Tamandua tetradactyla: one gene and its partners. The protein of the gene in region 2 purifies or fractionates together with the protein of the main gene of each other region. This does not show direct contact. Links are inferred from orthologs where the notes say so. Each region holds a gene or a part of one and is shown on either strand. Other genes may lie near its edges. The genes, in order: SMAD4, TRIM33 and SSRP1.

Region 1 (3,745 bases), on a different chromosome or scaffold from region 2:
CCAGTGTCTTGGAGTAGTTAGAAGAAAAAATGAAAAATCAAGGTTCTGTAACCCATACCAAACTTTAAAATCTGCTCCATAACTACTTGTTAAAACGTACTTGGAAATATATTGCTTTTTTGAATATATGTTGTTTCACACAAAAAAAAAATCGTCATTGAACAGGAAACGGGAAGAAAACACATGAGGCAAGAGCTATAGGGAAACAAATTAGAACTGAAAGTTTAAACATAAGAAAAATAATAAAATGTTCTCACCAATATAGGCAAAATACTAGGTAAGACTAAATATGTATTTTTAATTTAACAGACTCGGCAGAACCTGTACAGTTAACTGTGCTAGCAAAGATCTCACCAATTCACAGCCCAATGACACTGGTGTCTAGTGATGTTACCTTAACACTGGCTCTATCAGAAAAAGTCATTTCAAGCCAGAGAGCTGAAATGTAACTGCTAGAATCATCAGTTTATAATATTTATTCTTTAATTTAAGAGAAGAGGGGTGAAATTTGAAAGGGAATGCAAAAAAATTCACACCCAAACAGAGAACTAGCTCCACTACAGTACAGCTTAAGAAAGTAAAGCACAGGTTTTTAGATTTGCTGCTTCTTAGTATAACCAGACTGGCTTTGAGGAAAGCCATCATAAAAGGTCAATGAATCACATAAAACTGATTCAGGCTTTCTCAGCACAAACTTTTATGAAGTCTGAAACAGATTTGCAATGAAGTCACTCAAACCAAATTTCACTTCAAAAATAAAAAAAACTAAAATGCATTATCTCTTTAAAGCAAATCCACCCAAAAACCTAGAAAGCAAAGAAAAAGCCACTTCTATTAATAGACTCACAAAATGTTTTATCAATTTTCTCCAGAAAAGCTTTTAGTTTTAACTCCAATAACTTAAACCTACCTAATTCATCACCACCTTAATAACTAAAGTTACTCCAAGTCATAAATGTTTGGCCTCCCTCTATTACATTTGTTCTGTAACAAACCCATTTAAGGAAATAAAATCATGACCACATTATGGAAGAAACACAGATGAGAAACCATATTTTTAAATGTTAATTGTATTATGAATTAACCATATCAGAGCTTTCCAGCAGAAAAATAAAAATTACACCTCAGAATTTCATAAGCTGTATTTCAACTAAAATATATCTAGTCCCGATATGGCAAAGGTAATTTATTGAAATGCAATGTTCTAAATCTAATTTCTTTATAAAAGTATGCATTTCTTCATTTCCTTTTAAGGCTCTAAATGGTTTCTGCCTGCACAAGTACTGACCGGACGTCTTAACCGAATATTCAAGTGGCTACAGACTAAAAGGATGCTAATTCTCGAAAAAGTCAAGCGAGACTTTTTTTCAATCAGCCAAGAACGCATGCCTTTGGAGTCAATTCAGGCTACATAAAATGATTACCTATATTTTGTATTATAAGTACTAAATAACTGGCAACTTAAGCCTAAACTATGGGGCAAAATCTAAAAGAATTAAACCAATTCCAAAATTAGTTTTAGATAAATATGTGCATATAATGGGATGTATGCACAACTATATAATGCTGTGAGCCAGCAAGTGTATACTTCGGATGTGTGTATGGTGTGTGACTGTATCTTAATAAAACTGCATTTTTTAAACATGTGTTAATTTTTTTTTAAAAAGGTTTACTAGGGTTTTCAAAGGGAAAAGAGCTATCCATTTTCAACAGAGTTTTTAAAAAAATCTCTCTATATCCGCAAAGAAACCTTTCATGTTAACTAAAAAACACCCATTTCTTTTAAAATCTAGCTTGAGAATTAAAAACAGCAGCTTAGGGCCTGTGATGGAGTCATCGCCCTCCACGCTACACCAATTTCACGATCTGTACACTTAGTCCTGGCAATAAGATAAACTACGTCTTTTATTAGGAAACATTTTTTACTGAAGGCGGGAATGGCGGTTCAATTAGGTGCTAAAACAGTTTCCTGCATACCGCCATCACCCACAATATCAAAAAGTAAACAAAACAAAGCCAGAAACGTAAACTAGAATGACACGATCAGGAAGAGAAAGGGATGAAGAGAAAAATTTTTTTGCTTGACAAAAAAAAAGGAAAACTATTTACAACTTTTATTTAAAGGTAAGGTTCCTCCCCGTCCACACTCCAACCCAACGCGCTTTGCCGGGGCAAACAGTGAAACTACTTAAATAACAAAGAGGAGCAAAGGCCGCAGCGGGAGTCCTTCCCCTCCGAGTTTAACTTGATTCCCGTCCTAACTAAGAGGGGACTTAGGGACTGGAGGACCAACTCTGGCCCGAGCTCGAGGGACTGGAGCCACCGCGCCCAGCCCGACACGCGCAGGGGCCGCCGACCCGACTGAGCTCCGCAGGCGGCCGCGCTCGCTCGCTCTGCCCAGCAGACCTCCGGCCTCCCGCGCGCTCCCCGCCGCCTCCGCTGCCGCCGGGAGCCCGCCCCGGGGCGGGGAAGCCGCGGGCGGGGCGCACGGGCCTGGCCGGGGGAAGGGGAGGGGACATGGCGCGGTTACCTGGGCTCGGGTGGTGGCGAGAGAAGTCCGCTCTCCCGCCGTTGTTCCCCCAGCAATACAGACTGCTCCTCAGCCCCCGCCTCAGAGAGCCTGGGCCAGTCCGCCCCCTTCTCGGCGCGGCACCGCTGCCCGTGCGGGCCGGACCAGCTCGAGCTCCCGGGCCACCCCGCGACTGGGGGCCTCTCTTGCGGGACGCCTGGCTCCCCTCACCCGCTCCCGCCCTCCGGACGGCCGCGGAGCCGAGGGGAGGGCGAGAAGGGCCCGAGGAAGAGAGCTGGCGGGCACCAACGGGGGCTTCTCCACCCAAGCTGCTCCGTTACCGCAGCGGCGACGACGACCAGGGCCGTGTTGTTGCTGCCAACTTGTCGAACGGACACTGAGCATGCGCGCGCAGGGACCACATCCGGGTAATTTCAGGGTTTGGCCCTTTTCCCCCTTAGCTTTCCCTTCTCCCCAGTGCCCCCGCCTCCTGCCCTGTGTGACGGGTAGAGTCGCTCTGCGCAGGCGCTCGCGGGGTAGTGCTGGTCCGCGCACAGCCGAGAGTCCCGGCCCTTGCTTGGGCCCCGGCGGAGGGGGTTGTTTCACGATGGTGTGGGGGAAAGGCTGCATGCAGAGAGTGGTCATCAAAGAAGTTGGCATCCCTTTCCAAAAAGTGCACAAGCAGAATGGAAGAAGGGGCTGCATTCCTACAGAATCGGCGTAATAGTTTGCGTCTAAGTGTTTGTGATCAGCGGTCAGCGGAGTATTTTTTTTTTCTTTTAGGACCTACGTGGATGCAAAAATTAGATTTTAAAAGCCCAATCTAGCTCAGAGGAGAGGGTAGTTGTACTGATTTAATTCGGGAAGAGACTGGCGGTAACCGGGCCTTCCTTCTCTTCCTACCAGCCCTGGATCACCCCGGGTTAAGGAGATGCGCATGACATTAACCAAGGAATCATATTTGATAGTCTTGCCAGGTATTGTGAAATGTGAGTGATTCTTACTGGAAGAGTTTAGGCGGAATCTCAGAGTTGAAAGAGACTTTCGATGTCATACAACACCACTAACTGAGTTACTTGTTGGCTGAGGAAAGACATAAACTCTGCTGTTCATTCCATACTTTTTGAATTTTCACGAGACATTTCTCTTGTAATTTAAAAAGTATCAGCACACTGTCTGATGTACATAGGCATTTTTTTTCCATGAACTCCGAACCACTTCTCATTGGACGTCACA
Region 2 (3,745 bases):
TCAATAACCCTAGGAGGGTTGGTATTTTTGTTCCCCTTCCACAAATGAAGAAACAAGCTAAGGAACATTAGTCTGTCCAAGTCACGAGTAAAATGGCAAACTAGACGACTAAACTGAGCATCACTTACAAAGTCCCTACTCTTTCCAAAGCCCTTCCTTCTTTAACACTTATCAGTCCTTTACTACCTATCCCAAATGTTAATTACTAGAGCCTCCTAACTGATGCAAAGACCCACCTAATTGACCTTCCAGCTTCCAGCCTTGCCTTCCCTCATCTCTCTCTCAATGTGGCCCCAACTCATCTTTCTGGGACATAAATCTGATCTTTTTATCCCCTTGGTATCAAAGCCCTTCAGAGACTCCCTTTAGTCTGCAGTGTACAGGACATACTCTACAGGATAAATCCCAAACCCTTTAGTACAGATTTACAACCCCTTGCCTACAATTCCAAAATTCAAGAAGCTTAGACATTTTAAAAGTTTTTTTTTCAAAAGTTTACAACAAAACCCACCCTAAACTGCGAGATGCTACTTACTGTCCTTACCATTAGAGTGATATTCATACGTTTCACTACAGAAACAGTGTTTGATCATAAGGTGTAAACTCAGGACTTGACGGGATATTATGTAAGAGACTCCATGAGAAAAAGAAAAAAAAATTCTTAGGTTCAAAACATACTTGGCCCAAGAGTTTGAGATAAGAGATCACAGACCCCTTCCCTACCAGGACACTGAACCAATGTAATTTCCAGCAGTCACTTTATACACCCCCCTAGGCCCAGGGATGTGTAAGGTGACCTGTGCCCAGAATACCCTCCCACCCAGTAGCTACTCACCCTTCAAGAAACCTGCTCCACGGTTTCCCCGATCTTCCCTCCCCCCATTATGCCAAATACCCACCTCAGCCGCTGCACGTTATCTGTTTCTATTCGATTGTGAATGAACTCCATGTTGACAATTTTATTCAACCCTAGCACAAAGGCTGGAACAGCAGGGGCTCATAAAGGCACAATGAAGTGAAATTCAAGCCCCGCTTCCTCTAATTCCCAATTCCTTTCAAAATTCATTTTCCTTCACCCCTAAATCTTAGAATTTTTCCCTCTTAACCTTTCAGGCTCTTCACAGCTAGTCAGTCTCCTTTCCAGAGTTCCTCCTTCCCAATGTCATCCTGAAATTACTTTCAACCAGAAAGCCTTCTCTGGGGGCTCCCAAACTCTCCAGTGCCCTTCATCCTCCTCCCACTGTTTAATTTCTAGTCGTTCTTCCCCTTAATAGTGAACAAGCCAAATCCCCTACCTTCAGACAATCGTTCACCACATCCCAAATCCCTTACCTACTCCCTCCTCAACACCTCTCCTGGCCCGACGGAGGCCCTTCCACCCAAAACGGTTCTGAAAATCGGTTCCGAAAAGACCCCTCCTCACTCACAGCTGGGGCCCACTGACATCCGAACCAGCGTCTGGTACGAGTCCACGCCTTCCCAGCCCGTGTCTGCACAGCACAAACCTCCCTGGAGCCGGTGTCCCCTCCCCCAGTCTCTCGCGCCCGCACCCCTCCCTTCACCCTCCCCGCATTTCTTGCGGTACCGCTTCTCTGGAAACCGTCCCAAGGGCTGGGTCCTTCACTACCCGACCCCTCAGAGCTCGCCGGTCCGAACAGTCCAGGGCCCAAGCACCTCCGTCCACTTCGACTGCTCAAATCCCCTGAGGCCCAGCCTCCGGCAAGGCCTCCAGCTCACCTTGCTGGATGTCGCCGTTGCTGCCCCCCGGGATGGGCACGCTGAGCTGGCGCTCCGGTTCAGGTAGGCAACGCAGGCAGAAAGAGTGAAGACAGGGCAGCAGCTTGGGCTCCGCCTCACGCCGGCTTTGCAAGCTCTGCTGACACACGGCGCAGGTGTCCAGGAGCGAAGCTGGCGGGCCAGGCGGCGGCCCAGCCGAGGGACCCGGAGCTGGAGCCGAGGCTGGAACTGGGGCCGGCGTCGACACTGCCCCTCCTGGGACGCCAGAGCCCACTGAGGCCGCAGGGGCTGGGGCAGCCGGGGCCGAGCCCGAAGCGGCCGCGGCCACCCCCCCGTCGTCGGGCCTGGCCGCGCCGCTCTCCGCGCCGGCCCTGCCGCCTTCCTCCTCCTCCTCCTCCTCCACCAGCACCGCGGCAAGAGGCGGCTCCGCCTCCAACGCCGCGGGCCCGGCGGCCCCGGCAGTTACCGGCGCGCTGCTGCTGCCCCCGCCGCCGCTCTCAGCCTCGCCGCCGCCTTTGTTTTCCGCCATGTTTTCCTCTTTGAACCCGCCGGACCGCCCCGCGCCGCCAGCCGCCCGCGCCACCGCCGCCGCCCCCAGCCCCAGCCGCAGCCGCAGCGAGAGCGGCCGCCGAGAGCGAGCAAGCCAGCGAACCAACGAGAGCGCGCGCGCACACGGCGCCCCCGCCTTCGCGTCGCGCGGTGGAAAGAGGGCGGACGCAGCGCGCGCACGTACGGGCGCACGTCCTCCTGGGGGAAGGCGGGAGCCGGGCGAGGTGGGTGGCGACCGAGCTGTCCGTCTTTGCTGGACCTCCGAGGTTGTCTTGTGTCTGCTTCTCTGCGGTCCGACGAGTAACCACTTTTCAAAGACCGAGGCTTTGGCCTTGGACGGCCTTTGGCTTGGGGGTGGATGTGAGCTCGGACACAGCGGTGGTGCGGAAAGAAGGGCGGGAAAGGGTGGAAGAGGAGGAGACTGAGGCCGGTTCCGGCCCGAGGGATGGTTTCTAGGCCGGCGTCGCCCCGGCCCCCGGAAGGCTTCTCCGCGGAAGCCTCACCTGCCGCCCGGGACGCGGGAGCACCTGGCGCTCTTGTGCGGTGTCCGGCCGCCTTCCTTTCAATGACTGCTGCTCAGGGGAGTAGTGAAATGGGACTTTCTCTCTAACTGGCGCCTACCAGAAACAAGTCGAACGCACCCGGTGAGGGAAGAAACTCTTTTAATAGCTATTTTTAACTTCTTAAAGAGCTTGATTCTCAAATATCGCTACATACCAAAAAAAAAAAAAAAAAAAAAACCTATCAACTGAGAAGCTTTTTTAAAACACGCCAGGGTTATGCCTCAGACCTGAATCAGGAAATGAAAGAGAGGGCAGATGGATGTCTAAAAATTACCTAGGGTAATTCTGGTGAGCGGCAGTTGGGAAAGCCACCCGTCTAACCAATATTAGGTCCTTCTAAGACCTGGTCCTTCTAATATCACCAAGTGTCCTGCGGTGAGTTAGGTGGCAGGTGACCCAGCAATTCTGGTAGTAAATGCTTTCAGAAAGGATTGCCTGTTATTTGAAAAACAAGTACCTTGAGGATGTTATATAGCGCAAAGGCAGTTTTAGTGTTAGGATTATGAAGTGCTTTGGTCTTCTGACAAAAACCGATGCTCTGTGAACTGGTCTAAGTCCCTAAAATAAGATAAACCGACTCAAAAAAAGTTTTTCATTCATTCGTTCAGACTCCTTATTGCGTGTCAGGCAGTATTTTAGAGACACTGGGATTGCAGCAGAGAACAGAACAAAAGCGATCCTGCCTTTTAGGAGTTTACTATCAAATGGAGGAAGATATGTATGTCAGGGAGTGATGCAGGTAAACAGGCTTTGTGGTTCTTTTGTTGAAGACTGTTCCAGGCAGAGGAACAAATAGCCAGTGCAAAGGACCTGAGGAAGGCAAGGATTTCTGACTTGTTAGAGGAATAGGACGGTCGGTGTGGCTGGACTGCTGTGAGCAAGGGAAAGAGTAGTAC
Region 3 (3,745 bases), on a different chromosome or scaffold from region 2:
AATAGAGGGGACAAATGTTAAAATAAATTTAGGTTGAAATGCTAGTGATCAATGAAAGGGAGGAGTAAGGGGTATGGTATGGATGAATTTTTTTCTGTTGTCTTTTTATTGCTTTTTCTGAATCGATGTAAATGTTCTAAGAAATGATCATGATGATGAATATGCAACCATGTGATAATATTGTGAATTACTGATTATATGTGTAGAACGGAATAATCTTAAATTAAGAATGTTTGCGTTTGTTTGTTATATTTTTTTTAAAAACTAAAAAAAAGCACACCCTGGTCATCAGGCAAGCTCCTGTCCCCAGGTCAGCCCAAGTCTGCTCACTACCATCTGCTCCCAAGGCAAGTGGGGGCGGCCTCACCTCAACGGGGTCCACGCCATCCTCCTGAGTGGGAGGCACGTAGAAGCGCACCTCCATGAGCGAGACCTCTGCATCGTCGTTCTGGTGGAATTCCAGTGTCACCTCGTTCTTGCCCGTGGTGCACTGGGACACATTGCTGAGGGGTATCTCGAAGACAGGCTGGTCGCCGATGTCAAAGGAAAGCAGCTGCCCTATAGGGAAGGCATTATTAAGCCACATGCTCCTCCCCTGAACAAAGAGCATTTCCACCAGACCGTAAGTTCCGTGAGGAAGGGGAACTGGGGTTATTTTGTGCACACTGGCGATATCCATAAAATGCAGGATGAATGCATGGACTGACCAGAAATCGGAGACAGTGGCACAGGACAGAGAGCAAAACGAGTCAAAGACCAAAACCCTTCATCCTACCTTCTCCTATAAACCAGTCTCTCCTAAAACTCACCGCCAAACTTCACCGTCCCCCAGTTCCAGCCCTTCACACAGAGGTCCTTCTCCATTAGCTCAAGGCGATAGTGAGTTTTGAAGAAATCAGAGAGTTTCTCAAACTCCTGTGGATAGAGGAGAAAGAGAACCTCAACACAGCCTTGAATAGGCTAGGGTTACGTATTCACAAGAGACTGTCCCGGTACCCCCTGTGTCAAAAATCCATGCTAACTTAATCTCAGCTGTAAAGTAGTTTAAAGAGATTGTATACAGGGAATGGATCGCAGGCTAGAGGAAGAGTAAAGTAATGAACTGACATTCCTGTTTATGAGACTTAATAGTACTAGCTTCTTAAACTTTGTATAGGTGTTACTTTAAAGGAAGTGGCAATTAAGATAAAGAAAGTCTTCCAATCTGAAGCAACTCCAAGTGGAAAAATAAAACAAAAGCATCAAGCCAAGCTTCTCAACCTGGATTAAGAAAACAGGTAGAAATCATCTAAATAAAAACAGCAGGAAATCTTAAAGAAACTCACCAGACTTGAACAGCATAACAGAACCCTGACTGTTCCACGGCCTCAATGGCCCAGCTCTAATAAGCTCAAAATAGCAATACTATCGGAAAGTCCCTACTCTCTCTAAAAGTTCAAAAATATACAAGATAACACAAAAAAGGAGGCTATTTGCATTAGGACATCTCACCGATTCTCGGAAGCCATCGTATTTGTAGACGTGGCCGTTCTTTGTGAGCAGTTTAAGTCCATGGCCTAGAGCTACACGACGCCAGATGCCTTCCGTCAGCTCCCCAGCCTGGATATTGTCCACTTTGCCCGTCTTGCTGTTCTTGAAGATAATGCCTTGGCGGCTCAACCTCAGCCGGCCATCGTTCTGTCGGGAAAACAGGCCCAGAGAGGTGGAGATGGTACACACTGGGTGCCATGCATGGTCCCACCCAATGCCCTTTATCGATGCAGGAGCAACACCAGAAGTCGTCAGGGCCAGTGAGAACAGACAAATAGGAAGAATGGATCTCATCTCCACTCTGGCACCCAAAGCCCTGTGGGTCCTTAACTGCCTCATCTCTAACAGCGGGATTTGGAACCGAACAACCTATAAAATCCTTTCTAACCCTGAGATCCAAGGAGTCCCTCTCAGTGTCGTTCCTCGTTGGAGAAGCACCAGACACACATAATATTTTGAATCCTCCTCTTCCATACTAACCACATTATCAAAGCAAGCCCTTGTTAAAGCACAAACTCTCTACCCCACTTCCAACCGTATTAAAAGTTCAAGCCTTTCTCACCATTGAGCCTTTCACCTCCTGATAGATGTCGTTGAATTCCAGGGTCTCTGCCATGCTGATCTGGCCCGCTGGCCTGGGCACGAAGCCCTAGGCTGCACAAGGGGGAGCCAAAAAAAAACTGGGAGCTGAGTCCCAACTCCTCGGTGCGCGTCCAGTTGTTCCGCAAGTTGGGAACCTAAATTCAAAAGGACAGACCAGCACGAAAGACATCACTGTGCTCGGGGCTGGGCCGAGGTGGCACCCGCGACTGGCCCTGGGACGTCTCAGGATCTCCCCTGCCTGGGAAGCTTCAGGCAGCCTCTGCGGGGTAAAGGAGCCAGGCCCGGCCCGAGAACCGAGGCCCGAAGGAGCGCTTCCACCCCAACCCGACCCTAGCTCGAAGCGCTCCCCTGGGCGCCATGGCAACGAGCAGCGGAACTCCAGGGCTTGCCAGGACCCCACACCTTGCCCGGGCCCCCAACCCAGCTCAGGCTGCAGAGTTTCCCTCCCCGAGCGACCCGCGCGGCGCGGCCCCAGACCCGCGTCTCCCCCTCCCCCCAAAATGGATTCGCCCACTGCCCGCGGATTCGAATACGGAACGGTCCATCTCGAGCGTGCCGCGGGGGAGCTGAGCCCGCCTCCCTGGGGGACGGGGACGCCGGCCACCTACCTCCTCGGGCGGCCACCTCACGAGGGCCCCGGCACGGGCGGTGGGCGCGCTGGGGGGCGCAGGGGGAGGGGGAAACGGGGATGGGAACCTGGGGGCTGGAAGAGGGACGCAGGGGAAGCTTTCCCGCGTGCGCGGCCCCGCGTCCCGCCACCGGAAGTCGCGCTTAGACCATAGAGAGGACGAGCGGGCTAGAGAAGCGCGAGCCCGGACCGCCTGTGAGGCGGTCCCATAGAGTGTCAGCCGCTCTGGAGGACCCGAGGGAGTCGTTTGGGGGCTGAAGTCCGCTTACCCCGGGGGGGTGGCAGGGGAATGGAATCTGACTCCAGGAGGGAAGTGCTTCTTTAGGAAGTTACAGCCCCTTCTTCAGGGGAGGACTGGATTCTAAAGGGAAATTGTATAGTTTTGTTTTATCAAGACTTTGCACGTATGCGTGTGTCCGTGCTGCGGTGTTGCACGTCCTTCCACTGCACGAGAGTGGTTGCTTTGGAGCGGAGAGGAGTCTCTGGAACCTGAAGGAAAAGATTTAAAGAGCTGTGGCGAGAAACGACCCCTCCCACTGGCTGCACAGAGAATGCGGGCGTTGGTGTTGTGACCATATGGCTCTCTGGCTGTATCCCCGGTCCAGTAGGGCTGGATTCTTTTTGAAATTTCACTGTCTGCTCCCAAAAGCCGCACTCAAAACGGCAATTGATAGGCCCCCCCGGAAGAGGCTGGCAATCGGCGGTGTCAAGTTCCAGCGCTGGTGTCACATGCACCGTAGAGCCGGAAAGGATTTGAAATCCCATCAGCCTGGGATCGCGGAAACCGAGCCGCACCGTGCGTCTTACAAAACCAGGGAAGGCCAGACCGAGAAGAAATGTTGCTCTAATCCAACTCCTTCTGCAGATGAGAAAAGTGGGACCTTCAGGGGACTTGCCCAGGATCTCAATGAGAAACCTGGAGGCCAGAACCCAGGTCTTCTTGAATCGCGATTACTCCACATTCAGAATAGCTGATGAAGTGTC

What was found.
Region 1: the proteins of TRIM33 (region 2) and SMAD4 purify together in Homo sapiens (affinity purification with western blotting; 7 studies listed by BioGRID and IntAct, with this or other methods). This does not show direct contact. The link is inferred for Tamandua tetradactyla from reciprocal best matches to the Homo sapiens genes TRIM33 and SMAD4.
Region 3: the proteins of TRIM33 (region 2) and SSRP1 purify together in Homo sapiens (affinity purification with mass spectrometry; 3 studies listed by BioGRID and IntAct, with this or other methods). This does not show direct contact. The link is inferred for Tamandua tetradactyla from reciprocal best matches to the Homo sapiens genes TRIM33 and SSRP1.

What each region holds. Positions count from the first base shown.
Region 1 is NC_135344.1:31,637,216-31,640,960, forward strand, and holds the start of SMAD4 (mothers against decapentaplegic homolog 4), read right to left. Parts: upstream 2,955-3,745; 5' UTR 2,531-2,954; exon of another isoform or gene 2,267-2,530; intron 1-2,266. UniProt on the Homo sapiens protein: In muscle physiology, plays a central role in the balance between atrophy and hypertrophy. When recruited by MSTN, promotes atrophy response via phosphorylated SMAD2/4.
Region 2 is NC_135337.1:7,027,401-7,031,145, reverse strand, and holds the start of TRIM33 (E3 ubiquitin-protein ligase TRIM33), read right to left. Parts: upstream 2,328-3,745; 5' UTR 2,267-2,327; coding exon 1,738-2,266; intron 1-1,737. UniProt on the Homo sapiens protein: Acts as an E3 ubiquitin-protein ligase. Promotes SMAD4 ubiquitination, nuclear exclusion and degradation via the ubiquitin proteasome pathway. According to PubMed:16751102, does not promote a decrease in the level of endogenous SMAD4.
Region 3 is NC_135335.1:20,257,073-20,260,817, reverse strand, and holds the start of SSRP1 (FACT complex subunit SSRP1), read right to left. Parts: upstream 2,890-3,745; 5' UTR 2,742-2,889; intron 2,268-2,741; 5' UTR 2,147-2,267; coding exon 2,093-2,146; intron 1,678-2,092; coding exon 1,492-1,677; intron 916-1,491; coding exon 810-915; intron 559-809; coding exon 368-558; intron 1-367. UniProt on the Homo sapiens protein: Component of the FACT complex, a general chromatin factor that acts to reorganize nucleosomes. The FACT complex is involved in multiple processes that require DNA as a template such as mRNA elongation, DNA replication and DNA repair.